Linked DNA regions of Rattus norvegicus. The protein of the gene in region 1 binds, or shares a complex with, the protein of each later gene. Links are inferred from orthologs where the notes say so. Each region holds a gene or a part of one and is shown in the gene's direction. Other genes may lie near its edges.

Region 1 (5,651 bases):
GTGTGTGTGTGTGTGTGTGTGTGTGTGTGTGTGTGTGTCTGCCCTCTGACCTTTGATATCAGTGCACCCCAGGAACTGGAGTGCAGCCACGTGTTCCAAGGCCCTGTGGCAGGTGCACATTGCACAAATGTGCCTGCCATTGAGAATTGTGGAGTGTGTGTTGGTGTGTGTGTGTGTGTAGACAGGTGCTTGTCCTGATCAGCACATGATCCAGGAGAATTGCTGCACTGCTTCCCGGAACCTCGCATTAACCTCATTGGTGGTATAGTGGGCTGTGGGTCTGGGACTCACCATTCATGCACCTCCTCAGGATCGATCTATTTCCAATCTACGATCACCATTTTGCTACCTGAGCAGAAACAGGCACCGAAACATTGGATTTCAATCAACTGCCAGACAAGTAGACAATCAGCAGCTACTAAAGACATGATCCCTCCTAAGACAGCTGAAAACAAGACAAAACAAACAAAACAAAAACCTACTGTGAAAATCTAGGAAAGAGGAGAAAGAATCCAAGGGCGACTAGAACTAGAGGAGGTAGTGAGAATGGTGAGGATCAGTTAGCCTATTAAGAAGAGCGAAGAAAAGCTTAACCAAGACTCTAAGTGGGCATTCTAGCACACCAACGGTTTAGGCACTGTCCTCAGAACACACAGGAGGCTGCCTGAAGAATTGCACAGAGAACGCACTGAGCAGGCGGAAGAGATTCCATTATAATTGTCCCTGCAGGAAATAACCCCTTAGAGCTGTCTACAAAGCCACTGTGTCAGCACCGTGCCTCCCGCTGCCACCAATTAGCATGGCCTCAATGGTCAGCCTGGTTTGTTACTCCTAAACTGGACACATACTCAATTATACCAGCCCCACACCCCTCCCCTTACCAAGATGCTTGGCATTTTTTATCTCTTTAGTAATGCTATGTGTAAGCTGGTGGAGCTTTGGGCTTAGCCTTGAAGGTGAACTTGACAGAGGTTCAGGTCGTGTAAATAATCGATATCTCAAGCATAGGACCTGAATCCACATCCAGGTACCTGCCTCCTCACTGACTACCCGGTACAAGTGGGCTGGGGTGGCTATTTCCATCCATTCCTGATCCAATGGAATCCGGGTTACAAAGTCTGGACGTTTCTGTTCCACAATAATTAGACTGCCTGGGTTTAACTCAAGGCTTCATGACTGCACAGGTCAGTGGCTTCCGATCAGCCATGGGACCTCAGGAGTCTGTGCACCTGACAGGGATGAAAACAGGGTTATCAGACAAAGCATGTTAGATGGTTTCTGAAAACGTCTTCACTCCATTCCACTCCAAAACTGACTGTAATCAGGTGCTTACCTTCAGACTGATCAAATCTGTGTGTGTGTGTGTGTGTGTGTGTGTGTGTGAGAGAGAGAGAGAGAGAGAGAGAGAGAGAAGAAATGACCATGACATTCATTCTTTCCTGTTTCTGAAAGCAAATGCTTCAAAATTTGTTTAGGAGTGATCGATGTCTCCTTGACTTGACGTCATTGGCTATGTCTATTTAGTCCATCTTTGGACATGTAAGCCCCATCACTTGAATCAACACGCATGACTAATAATAAACATTCTGTTGATTCTTAATATCTGTCATACACACGTGCAAAACTGAATCCCATAAGCCCAGAATCCAGGCATTCCTACCAAAGGAAGTCAAACGGGAAGAAAAGTAGCAGAGCCTTTGCAAAGACAACATTGTCCTATCTCTCACCAGTGTCAGAATGTAGAAGTGTTTACAAAATGCTCATTAAAAGAAAAGGGGGGTTGCAAGATAAAAATGAAATCTGGTGTACAAGTTTACACTGGGGAGATAAGAGAGGCTAGGCCCTATAGGGGATTTTGCTAACCAATTACTGCAACCTGACTTTTGGCGGGGAAGAGGGGGAGGAGGGGCAGGAGAGAGAGAGAGGAGGGGGAGGGGAAGACAGAGGAAGAGTTTCCATACTTGTGTCGTGTCCAGTGACACAAGACATTTACACTCCGCAAGATAAAACCGCCAGTTGCAGCTCAGGGGAGTTAAGCCTTCCTAGGTTGGCCTGGGGAGCTGAGCAGAGTCATGGGTTCTCTGGTTCTGCCGCTGAGCGCCGTCTTCTGCCTGGTGGCTCGTCTGGCTTCTGGCAGCCCCATCATGGGCCTTGAGCAGTCGCCCCTGGAAGAAGACATGCCCTTCTTTGATGATATCTTCACAGAACAAGATGGTATTGACTTCAACACACTGCTGCAGAGCATGAAGGACGAGTTTCTCAAGACGTTGAATCTGTCAGACATTCCCCCACAGGACACAGGCAGAGTGGATCCGCCGGAGTACATGCTGGAGCTCTACAACAAATTCGCCACGGACCGGACCTCCATGCCATCTGCTAACATCATCCGGAGCTTCAAGAATGAAGGTAGGCTGGCTGGCGTTTGCACCTAGGAGACTGTCTTTGCGTTTTCTCAGGGAGAAATAAGGAGGCGTCCACATGGGGATGAGGTGGGAAAGGGAAACCCATGGCTCAGACACAGTGCATCAGCTGCACCACACGATCCTCCTAGAACTCCAAAAATGCTGTAAAGTATCTACCAATGAAAACCCACAAAAGGCCCATCATTTTAATAGCACAACAGGTTCTCGATGTCATTTTAATCTGGACACTACATATCAAAAAACCATAAAGGTCGATCTGTCGTTCCATCTCCTCTGCCACTTTCTAGACGGGACTCGATTTCCACCTGGTGTTGATAAGAATTAGTCAATTACTTTTTAGATCAAAAATGATGAAAACAATAAAAAAAAGAAATTTTGGGCTTTTTAGTTGGTTCCAACTCTAGGCGAGTTTTTGTTTCTGACTTCATTTGGTCAGTGTCCTGATAGGACAGAACTGTATTTGGGAGATTCTTCTCATGTTGTGTTGTGTTTGATAAACCAGGTTCCCATGTGGAGCATTGCTTATAATAAGACTCCAGGAAGTTCACAGGTGCGGCGGACTGTGACTGGATCTCTATGAAGAGCAATATACATATTTCAAATTGTTCACTCCCCTCAGATTTCTAAATGAGTCAGTGAGCTAATGCTAGGTTTATGTGGCAGTAGAAAAACATAATGTTGACAGCAGAGACCATGAATATAAAGAAAATGGCTCTTTGTCATTTACTAATTGTGCTCTTAATTATTTACTAATTGTGTCCCTGGATGAGCTAAAACGAGATTTGAAGAATATTTACCAGACGCTCTTGGAAGCAGAAGGCGGTGGCACAAAACCGCTCAGGGCTGCCGAGCATTAGCGGCTTTGGGAAGTTGTGAGGAGCTGGTCTAAGTGATTGTAGCCTCTGCTTCCTCCTGTAAAGCAGAAGCTGCTTGGTGCAGATGAGGGAATCACAGGCAGCTCTGGGTAAGCGAGGGCTCACGGTAAGGAAATGCTGGACAAACCATGGCGACTTTCAATGAATTGCCTAATATTCTAGGAGCTAGAGTGAAGGTTGAGTGGTTGAGTGAGGAAGTAAGATAGTATTTGCTATTAGAATTCAACCTATGACCACCATGTCCACTTAGTAACATATTTCTGGTAGAAACAGTGAACTGAAATTTCAGATTCCTTTGGAGGCAAGTCTGGGAGAAAAAGAGCAACCTCCCAAGGAGCCTGCCTCAGATTCCTGCTCTGAGCCATGGTCTAGCTCGGGCACGGTGGGAATGCATGCTCCTTGCTTCTCCCATGGAAGAGCAGGTGATAACATTGAGGATGTGACCCAGCTTACCATTACTGGAGATCCATGGGGAAGCCTCAGACTTGGAGACACCCAGCTACTCACCCCTCGCACCTCTGCCAGCCTAGAGGAAGACTCACACAGCAGAGGACCTGTGTCCCCTCAGCAGACTCTCCCTGCTGGCTGCTGTCATCCACATACTCACCTTTTGTGTTTGCTCAGTGCTGTGCCCTAGGCGATGACCCAGAGGGCTCCAGACCTAATTCGTGTTTGAACTAGTGCAGCATGCAAGGCAGAAGACGGGACTTCAGTTCTTTTTTTTTTTTCTTTCCCCGGAGCTGGGGACTGAACCCAGGGCCTTGCGCTTCCTAGGCAAGCGCTCTACCACTGAGCCAAATCCCCAACCCGGGACTTCAGTTCTTAGCCTGGCTCCACTCTCCATATTGTCTAGGAAGTCAGATATGCACTCGATGGTTTGATTTCTTCCGGTGCACAACTAGAATAGGATCCATGTGTGCATTGTTGGGGATCATTGTAACAGCCACACAATTTGCAGAAAGTCCTGCATGTGAAACGTGTGGAGGACATTATTTTTCTTTCCCTGAAATGTGACTTCTCCATGATCTAGTGTTACATATGCAAATAATTATGGGTAGTTTTATTTAGTTAGTTAAGGGTTGGTTGGTTGGTGCATGTATGTTGTGCTGTGTTGTCTTGTTTTAAGCTGGCTTTGAACTCATCATGTAGCCCAGGCTGGCCTTGAAATACTCATATTTAAGGTTTTTTTTTTAAGTTATAAACTATTAATTTCTTTTGAGACATATTTTGCTGTGTAGGTGAGGTTGGCTCAAGCTCACCCACCCTCCTGTCCAAGCCTCCTGTCCAAGCTCTAATGTGAGCTTAGTTTTTAAAAAGTATAACTTCACCGGATTATAGCTGATATACATAGAACTATGATATATTTAACATGTATAATTTAGGTGCTTCTGTGTGTAAACATCCACCGAAGCCCCTGCCTCGGCTAAGACAGTGAGCATGCCCACTTCCCCCAAGGCTTCCTTCATTCCTGAGGGGAACTGCTTCTCTCATGGAGGAGCAACGAACCTGTCCTCCCATTTTTGATCTTCTATGACAGCAAGTGCAGAGTGGGATAAACTTTCAGAGGGAGACTCGAAGGCACCAATGTCTCAAAAGGGAGGCCAAAGGTGGAGCGTGGATATGAAGGAAGATGGCTTTCTCTTCAAGAATCAGAACATCTTCAAAGGTTCACAACAAAGAAGGAAGGAGTTTTGTTTTTTTTTAGAGGGAAAGTTACTAATCAATAGGGTTAAATGCTCATTCAATTGATCCATAAATACCCATGAAGCAGCTGTGGTATTCTGGGTACTGTGGAGAATGGACGGGAGTCATGGCTTGGTTGAAATTTTAAGCACTGGTTACAGTTGCCCTGGCCACACCTGTGAGGTTAGGGCAATCCCATAAATCAGTATCCCCCACACCACTGAGAAGATGCTTTCAGTTAGCACCCAGAGGAAGCTGTGAGACACATACAATAACTACATGTTTTATTTATGTACATTTGAGAGCCCATAAGACTATGAGCTTACGGGCAAGCCTTTTAGCTCTTTTCAGAGTAGATATAAAGCAATCAACTAAAGAAGATATCAAGCACAACATGGATCAGAGACTCCACTGAGGTCATGAGTTAGGGAAAGGTTAGGGAAAGGACAATAGAGAACGCTCCTGGCAGGTCTCTGACATCTTCGGTGTCACAATCCTTGGATACTCTGTCAAGCAAACCATCTGGAGCACAAGCACACAGGAGCTTTGGGTTCTCTGTAAATTTCTCACGTAAAAAGTTAATATCGGGCCAGGCACAGTGACACATGCTTACAATGTCTCTCAGGAAACAAACACTAGAGGACTAGTTTTCGAGTTCGAGGCCAACATG
Region 2 (5,109 bases), on another chromosome or scaffold:
GCCAAGGTCAGGTCATTTTTGCAAGGACAGGGATGAACTGATAAGCTAAGAGTAGCCCAAAGCTGGGACAAGATGTTAATAAAGGTATATTTTCAGGTTTGAGGAGAGCCATAGGGCTTAGCAGGGGAAGGCACTAGAACCAAGACTGATGGCCCAAATCCAATCCCTGCGACGTACTCGTCGAGAGGAGAGAACCATCTTCCTCAGATTGTCCTCTGACCTCCACATGTGATCCCATTTAGTGTGTATCACACACACACACACACACACGAATAAATAAATAAATAAATAAATAAATAAATAAATAAATAAATGAAAAATATTGTGATCTAGAAGGCAGCTGGGGTTTTTGGCACATGCCTTTAATACCAGCACTAGGGAGGCAGAGGCAGGCAGATCTCTGTGAGTCCAAGGCCAGCCTGGTCTACATCGCAAGTTCCAAATCAGCAAGACAAATGAGACCTTATACTTAAAAAAAAAAAAAAGTTAAAAATAAATAAAATCGGATTTTTGCAGAGGGGATCTATCTTCATAGCATCCGGAATTGGGGTGGGGGTTTTTAAGGACTATGTGTGTCTAGTGCGTGGTCCTTATTCTTCCCTTGGCCACGGATTAGGAAAGGGCCGATATGGCGAGGTGTGGCGCGGTTCGTGGCATGGCGAGAGTGTGGCGGTCAAGATTTTCTCCTCACGAGATGAGCAGTCCTGGTTCCGGGAGACAGAGATCTACAACACAGTTCTGCTTAGACACGACAACATCCTAGGCAAGCTAGGGGACATGTCTGCTCTCCCAGGCCAAGGCACCCCAACTCCCTCAACTCAGGGCTGGAATACACCGAACTGGGCATTGATGTAACTCCCAGACCAGCTTCAGCCTTCGGTCTCTGCCCCACCCCTTCTGTGCCTCAGCAGCTCTACCTTCTCACCACTCCTTCCTTCTGGGTACTTTGGTCACACCCTTCTGTTTACAGGCTTCATCGCCTCCGACATGACCTCGCGGAACTCCAGCACGCAGCTGTGGCTTATCACCCACTACCACGAGCATGGCTCCCTCTATGACTTTCTGCAGAGGCAGACGCTGGAGCCCCAGTTGGCCCTGAGGCTGGCTGTGTCCGCGGCCTGCGGCCTGGCGCACCTGCATGTAGAGATCTTTGGCACTCAAGGCAAACCAGCCATCGCCCATCGTGACCTCAAGAGCCGCAACGTGCTGGTCAAGAGCAACTTGCAGTGTTGCATTGCAGACCTGGGTGAGCAGGAGAGAGGGGGTGGGGCTTCACCTGAGGGCGGGGCTTGCATGCTTGGCTCTGCCTGTTTTTGTTCGGGAGAGAATTGGAGTGGTCACCCTGTGTGGGAGCCCTGCAGGACTGACACGCCAAACACCCGCAGGATTGGCTGTGATGCACTCGCAAAGCAGCGATTACCTGGACATTGGTAACAACCCCCGAGTGGGTACCAAGAGATACATGGCACCCGAGGTGCTGGATGAGCAGATCCGCACAGACTGTTTTGAGTCGTACAAGTGGACAGACATCTGGGCCTTCGGCTTAGTGCTATGGGAGATTGCCCGGCGGACCATCATCAATGGTGAGAGCCCACCGTATGCAGGTTGTGTGTGTGCGCGCATGCATGTGTGTATCTGTGTGTGTGTGCATATGTGTATGTGTCTATGCATGCATGCATGCATAAGTGTGTGTGTGTGTGTGTGTGTGTGTGTGTGTGTGTACACGGATGCGCGTATGTGTGTAAATATATGGAGACCTGGTTTTCTGTGGTGGCTGGTCTTTTCTGCCCTTGACCTGATGGTTTGAGGTTAGAGCTCCTAGTTTTCTTTTACTGCTATGAATCGCCTAGTTCAGCACAGATGGACTTTAAGGCTCATCTGAACCTGGGAGGGTGTGGATGTGGCCTTGAAATCTTGAGTTAGAGACAAAAAAAAAATATTCAAAGCTGGAAATATAGTGGTAGAATGCTTGCCCAGCATGTTCAATGCCATAGGTTTTGATCCTGAGCATAGGGGCGGGGCAGGGAAGCAGCTAAGCTAGCTAGCATTTGTGGAGCTTAAATATGTGTCACAATGTATACTCTAACTTGTTGAAGTCTCTTATTTTGGTAAGAGTTGGCATTTGGCCAGTCAGATTGCCTGGACTCAGTTTCAGGTTTTGTCCTGACAGGGAGTACTTAGCCCTGGTGTGCCTCCTTCCTCATTTGTGAAATTAGGAGGAAAAAAAAAGTGTTGTTGCAGACATGATCCAAATTAAGTATTTAGAACAATATCTACAAGCTGGTGTATTCTCAGTACTCATAGGCAGAAGAATTGCTACAAGTTCAAGGCCAGCCTTGAGTTTCAGATCGGCCAGGACTACACAGAGAAGAAAGGCAAACCGTGCCTAGAGCTAAATATTAGTGGTCATAATGAAAGAGCACTTACATATTATTATTCCACTTCCTAAAAGAAAAGACAGAGATGCATGATTGTGGCTGGCTATCTTAAGTCAGGCCATCTGATTCTGGGCCAGTGCTGTCTGTTATTGTGGTAGTTAAATGTTGGTCTTGGTTTCTTCATTCATGTGTAAGCTATCTGGCTTCTGTGCTGCTTGCCTACTGCAGCCTCATTATCACAGTGGATTGCCACAGGAGACCATAACTTGAAAAGACTGTAGAAGCACCTGCCTGTGCAGCCCTGTGCTGGCCTGTGCTCGCCTGTGCTCGCCTGTGCTGGCCTGTGTTGGCCTGCGCTGGCCTGTGCAGCCTTATGCAGCCCTGTGCTGGCCTGTGTTGTCCTGTGCTGACCTGTGCAGCCCTATGCAGCACTGTGCAGCCCTACATAGCCCTGTGCTAGCCTGTGCTGGCCTGTGCAGCCCTATGCAGCCCTATGCAGCCCTTTGCTGGCCTGTGCAACCCTGTGCTGGCCTGTGCTGGCCTATGCTGGCCTGTACAGCCCTGTGTAGCCTTGTGTAGCCCTGTGCAGCCCTGTGCTGGCCTGTGGCTAATGGCCTTTTAACCCTGGGGTAGATGGAGGACCACAGGTTGACTGGACAGCTAACTGCTGCAATGTTAGCGTTTGTGGGGCCTGTCTATGGCCAAGGATGCTGGGAGTCCTGAAAGTTTGCAGACAATCCCGGGCATACTACTAGAGCCCTGCCCCTTGGGACCAGAGATGTTTTCATTTCCTGAGCATCTACTGGCTAGGAGCCAGCCTTTTACAACGTCACTCCTCCTTGGTGGTCATCTGTGACAGCAGAGACCCAGTTGTCACCAGAGAGTCTCCCAGGGGTTCTGATCCCGGGGCATTTACTGCTGGAGTCAGCTCTAAGTGGCTGGAGTTGGGGAAAGGGTACCTGGATGAAACCAAAGAAGTAGGCCTAGCTACGCAGGAAAGGAGGAGCTGATGGATTTGCCTTAGGCTCCTGGGGTGGAGGGGAAGCTCTGTCAGCCTCACACAGACTCCTAGCGCATTATAAACACTGTAATCTGGTGTCAGCCCCGGCACTGATTAAAGGCTCATTAGACACGCTCAGGCCTCTGCAAATCGCTGATTAGGGCGCCGGCGGCACAGGGGCAGCCTGGAAGCCCGCCACGGGGAGAACAGCTGCTGAAGGCTTCATTGAGGTTCTGGTCTTCATGATCACAGAAGCGGCCTGGAGTTGGGAAGGAGGAAGAGACATGGGGCTGCCTCTGACCCCACAGGCACACCTTTCAGAAATGGCTCGGGATAACTAGACATGGGGTGGGGACACCGTTGGTGATGGGGTCTGCAGAGACGTGAACCTTCCCTGACAGTAAGCACATCTTATTTGGACCAGGGAGTAAATCTTTTGCTTCTCGGAGAGGTGTTTTTCTGCTCTTTGTTGCCCTTATTACGTACGAGCCTCATCCAGCCCTACCATAAATGTTGCTGAGAGAGCGGAATCGAGGAATTTGGTGTTGGATTTCCGCCTTAGGTCCCAGTTCTGTCGCTTGCTACCTGTTGATCCTTAAAGACAAAATTTCTGAACATTTGGACCTACTGTTTTTGGTTCAATGCTACAGTCCCCATAGGCCACTGTGAGGCTTGCGGGTAGAGCACTAAGGACCCCTTCTGGCCCACCGGAAGTGCTCTGGGACACACCGGAAGTGCTCCGGAACACCAGCTGTTAGGGTAATCGGGCATCACTCAGGCAGTGGAACCCAGGCGCAGAATGGAAGCTGAGCAAGATGAAAATAAGATCCAGCTTAGGAAGCCAAAAAACGGGTTTCAAGTCCTGACTGTGCCGTGACTGGCTAGGCAACACGAATCCGGTGCTTCTGACTCTAGGCTTCTCCATCTGTGACTCGGGTGGTACCACACAGAGATACCACCAGGAGGACGAATGGGAAATCTTGGAACACAGGCAGTAGTTCTGAGCTATATGCACAGTTACTATATTGTAGGACGGGATCGCTCTCAGGAGAAATATAATCAGGCAGTTAGCCCCAAGCATGGTCATCCTGTGGGTGCTCTGGGTTCCAAGTGATTGTCCCACATCCCTTGAATCCCCAGGCATTGTGGAGGACTACAGGCCACCCTTCTATGACATGGTACCCAATGACCCCAGTTTTGAGGACATGAAAAAGGTGGTGTGTGTTGACCAGCAGACCCCCACCATCCCTAACCGACTGGCAGCAGATCCGGTGAGACCTCTGCTTGGACCAGGGCTGGGCTGGGGCTGGGGCTGGGGCTGGGCTGGGCTGTTCTGGGGCTGGGGCTGGGGCTGGGGCTGGGCTAGGGCTGGGCTGTTCTGGGGCTGGGCTGGGCTGGGGCTGGCCTGGGCTGGACTGGGCTGGGCTGAGCTGGGCTGGGCCGGAGCTGGGGGCTGGGGCTGGGGCTGGGGCTGGGGCTGGGCTGGGGCTGAGCTGGGCTGGGGTTGGGGCTGGGGCTGGGGCTGGGCGGGGCTGGGGCTGGGGCTGGGCTGGCTGGGCTGGGGCTGGGTTGGCATGGGTGGAGATTGATTCTCAGCTGAATTTCTGAGTTCAGGATCTTGGCTCTACAACCTCTGATTCTTGGATAGATTGTGGGTTGTTCTGGGTATTCCCCCCTACACACCTGGCTTGCGGAACCTTCGTCCTTCTCGGACCTTTCAGTCAATCTGAT
Region 3 (5,109 bases), on another chromosome or scaffold:
GTTTGTTGTGTATTCTATTTCCTTGTTCTTTCAGTGGAGCTGCTGGCAGTGTTCAGGAAGGAGCTGGGCTGTGTTTAGTCACGGTGTCATTTTCCTGTGCCGGACTGGTACTAAGCCTCAGTCCCTCTACTACCCCGGGGGAACACTGTCCATGGAAACAACGATCCTCTTTTATTCCAGTTTCAACTTTCACTTTATTCCTTCTCAGGTTGCCAGATGCCTTAGAACTCTTGTTTGAACTGCAAATTGATTTTCCTTTTCTTGGCTTTTAGCAGTCTCTGAAAACACTTCCCTTCTTTAGCGCACTGATCTTTCCTGAAAGATACAAAGGACTGTCAGAGTCTGCATTCTCATTTCGTGAGCAGCTACTATAGTTTTAAATAGAACCCTTATTCCCGATGTCCTTTCTTCTTAAAATGTGATATTTCTCCAAAGGATGGATATATATATATATATATATATATATATATATATATTCCTTCATGTAAATATATATTCCTTCATGTATATATTTATCTTTAGATGGTATTGGTATTTTCTAGAATTTAAAAGTAGTTTAAAATATATACATCAAGTCACATTTGTTTTTCATTGATTACTATCTGTGGTTTGGTTTGTCAGAATAAACTATATTATGAAAATTTGATAACCGCAATACTATATACCTACTTGTAAACATTCCGCTTACTTGACCTCGTACTTTGAAAGTGCTTCACATAGCAATAAATGTAGCAGGTCTATTTATGTAAACTGGGTGGACAGAGTCATTAAGCCTGTCATTCCTTTTCTGTGCTTCAATTATGTCCAGAAACATTAATTTAATAAATAATATGTATTGTAAAGTGTTCCTGAATCATACTATTCCAATTCTATACACGTCAAATAAAGAACTGATTCAGAAGGTCATAAGAAAGTATTGATTATGTTTAGTGATTATCTTTCCTACTCAGACATATTAGAAAAATCTATTTTAAAAAACCTAAATAAAGATCAGATGGTGCTTTTGATAACCTTTTACCTCCTTGGTACTTTCACAGTGCTGGTTAGTGTTTGTTAATCAGTGAGTCACGTGACAAATGCTTTATTGGAGTCAGCTAAATCACGTAGTATAGATGAAGAAACACAGGTCGGCATTAAACTAAGGAACAACTACCTTACTCCTTGAAGAGCTGCTGTACATTTTGTCCGGCTGTTTTAAGCAAAATAAAATCATTTTCTTTTTGCTCAGAATTCTTGGGCTTTTAGGATTTTTCTTTTCCTTTTTTAAGATTTATTATATATATGTTACACTCATACACACATACTGTAGCTGTCTTCAGACACACCAGAAGAGGGCATCAGATCTCATTGTGAGCCACCATGTGGTTGCTGGGATTTGAACTCAGGACCTCTGGAAGAGCAGTCAGTGCTCTTAACCACTGAACCATCTTTCTAGCCCGGATTTTTGTTTTTGACTGTTCACTTTTTAAGGCACGGTCTCTCTATATAGCCTGACTGGCCGGGAACTAGCTATGTAGACCAAGTTGGTTTGTAACTTAGAGATCTGCTTGCCTCTGCCTCCCAAGTGTTGGATTAAAGGCATCCAATATCATGCCTGGCCTCCTCTGTGTTGGTTTTAAAGGTTAGTTTAGAACATGGTATTTCTCTGTCTCTCTGTCTCTCTGTCTCTCTGTCTCTCTGTCTCTCTCTCTCTCTGTCTCTCTCTCTCTCGTTTGCTCTTCTGGAAGTCACTATGTAGACCAGGTTGGCCTGGAACTTAACAGCTATCCACCAGCCTCTGCCTCCTTCCCTGTCCTTCTGCTGGAATTGAAGGTATATACCACCATGCCCTTGCAGAAGATGGTATTTCTTTTTTTGAACAGCAAAACATATTTAATAATAGAAAGAATGATAAGAATTATATGTGTAAAAGTCTGTCATCAGGGAATATACTTTCTTTAAATTCTTATTGCTTGGATATAAAAATTAATGTCCAAAGGGAATTGCTGGAGGGTGTGGATAAAAGGATGGTTCAGTAGTTAAATGCAAGTGTACTGCTCTTCTAGAGGACCCAAGTTCAGTTCACAGCAACCATGCCAGGCAGCTCACAGTCACCTTAACTCCTGCTACAGGAGCATCCAACGCCTCTGTGGGCACCTGAACTCATATGCACACACACGCTTAAAAAAATGAACATAAATCTTGAAACAGAAAATTTTTGGGTAAATGTAAAATTTAAAATTTATTCAACAATTAAATTTGAAGAATTTAGCAGGAAAATTTATAATCTTACTTAAATTAGATTATCATATATTATTAAATGAAATCTTAAAGATTATTTTAATCAGTAGTATTATCAAAGAAACATCAATTTATCATTGTGTTCTTTGCTCTGTTTTTCAGCTTCCCAGAATCAAGAACGGCTGTGTGCATTTAAAGACCCGTATCAACAAGACCTTGGGATTGGTGAGAGTCGAATCTCTCATGAAAATGGGACAATATTATGCTCCAAAGGGAGCACATGTTATGGTCTGTGGGAGAAATCAAAAGGGGACATCAATCTTGTGAAACAAGGCAAGTAATATTTTTTTAAAAAATTATTTACCTTTTTATTTTATGTGCATCGGTGTTTTGCTTGTATGTATCTCTGTGTGAGAGTCAGATCTTGGGAGTTACAGACACTTGTGAGCTGCCATATGGATGCTGGGATTTGAACCTGGGCCCTCTGGAAGAGCAGTGAGTGCTTCTAACAGCTGAGCCATCTCTCCAGTCCCCAAGTAACACCTTTTTTTTTTTTTTTTTTTTTTTACTTAATTGCTTTGTGCTTTTGTGCTTTTTTTCTTTTGGGTGCTGAGAATCAAACACAGACCATTGCACATAGGCAAGCTCCCTGGCGCAGGGCTATATCTTTAGCATTGTTTTCATACAGTTGGAACTTATCTAGAAAGGACATGTAGGTGGATTGAAATCCTATCCAGTAAATAAGATAAACACATAAATATATCTATAATTCACCCACAAGCTCCAAATTCATAAAAGGAAGTTTACTTTTAGTGTATGTAGTTAGTTTGCTCATTTGCTTGCTTGGCTGAAATAGGGTCTCACTGTGTAGCCCGGCAGGCCTGGAGTTCACAGAGATCTGCCTTCTTCTGCTTCCCAAGTGCTGAGACTAAAGTCATGCTCCACTGTGCCTAGCCTTTTAGTGTGTTTTAATAATGTCTTTCTCTTTACAAGTTAATGTTTGTGAATGAAGTTTGTATAAAAACCCAAAAAACTATTTAGAAAAACCAAGGTCTACAACTCACTTTTCTTAAAAAAAAAAAAAAAAGTTTTGTGTTGATTCCCCCCCCTTGGGTACATTTTTCATGTATTTTAATATTTATATGAGTCCCAGTCTTCTTTTAAAATTAGAATAATGTTATATTATTCCAACCTCTTTTCCCCCATGTTATTGTAAATGCCCTCTGAAGACATGTGTACCTCAGCACTATATTTCACTGTGTATATGTATTACGGTTTACATAAACGCTTTGAACACTATGCTGTTTTAAGGTTTTCACTGAAATGCATATCCAGCAATGGAAACCTTCAAACATATATAAAAGTTGTGTCTGATTGCTTTTTTTTCTCTCTTTTGTTTTTTTTTTTTTTTTTTGGTTCTTTTTTTCGGAGCTGGGGACCGAACCCAGGGCCTTGCGCTTCCTAGGTAAGCGCTCTACCACTGAGCTAACTCCCCAGCCCCTTTCTCATTTTTTTAAAAGTAGATTCTTTAATGTAGAATTAATAGATCATAAAAATATATGGTTATTTTAAAGGCTTTACATTAAAATTGCTATATTTTTCCAAAATTAACACACAAACTGATTACAGAATTGTAAGAGAGTGACTGTCACTGAATCTTTGTTACGATTCCATTAATTTTTTAATTGAGACGATTTAAATCTAAGTGCTCTTTCTTCAATAGTTCTCATAGTAATGGCGCAGCTAATGGTAATCGCTTTGTTGGCTGCCTTCCCCGTGAGATGTCTGTGGAACCCTTTACCATTTTCACTCAGTTTCTTTATGACTGTACTACTTAGTTTTATATGGCTGCTACAGTTACTTCATAATCTGTTGTTTTCCTTACTGTACTGTTTCCTAACTTGCTTTAATATTGATCTGTAGGGTGCTGGTCTCACATTGGTGATCCCCAAGAGTGCCACTATGAAGAATGTGTAGTAACTACCACCCCACCCTCAATTCAGAATGGAACATACCGTTTTTGCTGCTGTAGTACAGACTTATGTAACGTCAACTTCACTGAGAACTTCCCACCTCCTGATACAACACCACTCAGTAAGTATTAACAGGAATTTTTTTTTTAATAATTCCTTGTTCTAGAAGTTTTGAAAACATAACGGATAAACATTCAAGGTTAGTAAAAATTTACCTAAAATCTCCAAAGTAATATACCAGCACCAGCAAAGCTTTGGTGTATTTATTATCAAGTAAGTCTGAATCAAGACATGATTTTCCCTTTGTTTGGCGTTATGATGTGTGCTTGTAATCCCAGAACTCCAGAGGCCAAAGCAGTAGGATTGTAAATTCAAGACAGTCTGAGCTAACTGGTAAGTTCTTACCCAGCCTGGACTACATAAAAGGACCATGTCTCAGCAAACAAAAAATTCAAAACCCTCTTTTTTTTTTTTTTTGGTTCTTTTTTTTTTTCGGAGCTGGGGACCGAACCCAGGGCCTTGCGCTTCCTAGGTAAGCGCTCTACCACTGAGCTAAATCCCCAGCCCCCTTCAAACCCTCTTAAGGAAGGGAATTTGGTGATAGCAAATGAGTGTGATGGTGCAAGCCTTTAATCCTGGCACTTGGGAGGTAGAGGCAGATGGATCTCTATGAGTTTGAAGCCAATGTGGTCTACATAGCAAGTTCTAGACCAGCCAGGACTACACAGTGAGACCCTGTCTGAAAATCAAAATAAAACAACCATAATAATTAGAGAGAGAGAGAGAGAGAGAGAGAGAGAGAGAGAGAGAGAGAGAGAGAGAGAAACTATAACTTAGTTTGGCTTGTGTCTATAGCCACACTCATTCTGGAGGCCAAGGAGGGAGGGTCACTTGAGGTCATATATTCAAGTCTAGT

Evidence for each region. The genes of interacting proteins can lie anywhere in the genome.
Region 2: the proteins of Bmp10 (region 1) and Acvrl1 are in contact, whole or in part, in a crystal structure (PDB 6SF1), measured with the Homo sapiens proteins. The link is inferred for Rattus norvegicus from reciprocal best matches to the Homo sapiens genes BMP10 and ACVRL1. Residues at the interface, in NP_055297.1 of Homo sapiens: Tyr322, Asn357, Tyr358, Pro359, Ala361, Glu362, His363, Pro366, Thr367, Lys368, Ile371, Leu375, Leu378, Lys379, Ser381, Lys386; in NP_000011.2 of Homo sapiens: His40, Val54, Val56, Arg57, Glu58, Glu59, His66, Gly70, Asn71, Leu72, His73, Glu75, Leu76, Phe84, Val85, His87.
Region 3: the proteins of Bmp10 (region 1) and Bmpr2 are in contact, whole or in part, in a crystal structure (PDB 7PPA), measured with the Homo sapiens proteins. The link is inferred for Rattus norvegicus from reciprocal best matches to the Homo sapiens genes BMP10 and BMPR2. Residues at the interface, in NP_055297.1 of Homo sapiens: Tyr329, Lys333, Asp338, Ser339, Trp340, Ile342, Ala343, Pro344, Pro345, Gly346, Tyr347, Glu348, Glu395, Pro396, Ile397, Ser398, Ile399, Leu400, Leu402, Val407, Tyr409, Phe411, Ala417; in NP_001195.2 of Homo sapiens: Asp38, Ser64, Tyr67, Leu69, Lys81, Cys84, Trp85, Ser86, Ile88, Gly89, Asp90, Pro91, Gln92, Glu93, Thr103, Thr104, Pro105, Pro106, Ile108, Tyr113, Phe115.

Annotation. Positions count from the first base shown.
Region 1 is NC_086022.1:121,427,303-121,432,953, forward strand, and holds the start of Bmp10 (bone morphogenetic protein 10 precursor), read left to right. Parts: upstream 1-2,072; coding exon 2,073-2,406; intron 2,407-5,651. UniProt on the Homo sapiens protein: Required for maintaining the proliferative activity of embryonic cardiomyocytes by preventing premature activation of the negative cell cycle regulator CDKN1C/p57KIP and maintaining the required expression levels of cardiogenic factors such as MEF2C and NKX2-5.
Region 2 is NC_086025.1:134,126,389-134,131,497, forward strand, and holds part of Acvrl1 (serine/threonine-protein kinase receptor R3 precursor), read left to right. Parts: intron 1-616; coding exon 617-763; intron 764-970; coding exon 971-1,246; intron 1,247-1,385; coding exon 1,386-1,583; intron 1,584-4,518; coding exon 4,519-4,649; intron 4,650-5,109. UniProt on the Homo sapiens protein: Type I receptor for TGF-beta family ligands BMP9/GDF2 and BMP10 and important regulator of normal blood vessel development. On ligand binding, forms a receptor complex consisting of two type II and two type I transmembrane serine/threonine kinases.
Region 3 is NC_086027.1:68,734,478-68,739,586, forward strand, and holds part of Bmpr2 (bone morphogenetic protein receptor type-2 precursor), read left to right. Parts: intron 1-2,382; coding exon 2,383-2,553; intron 2,554-4,143; coding exon 4,144-4,314; intron 4,315-5,109. UniProt on the Homo sapiens protein: On ligand binding, forms a receptor complex consisting of two type II and two type I transmembrane serine/threonine kinases.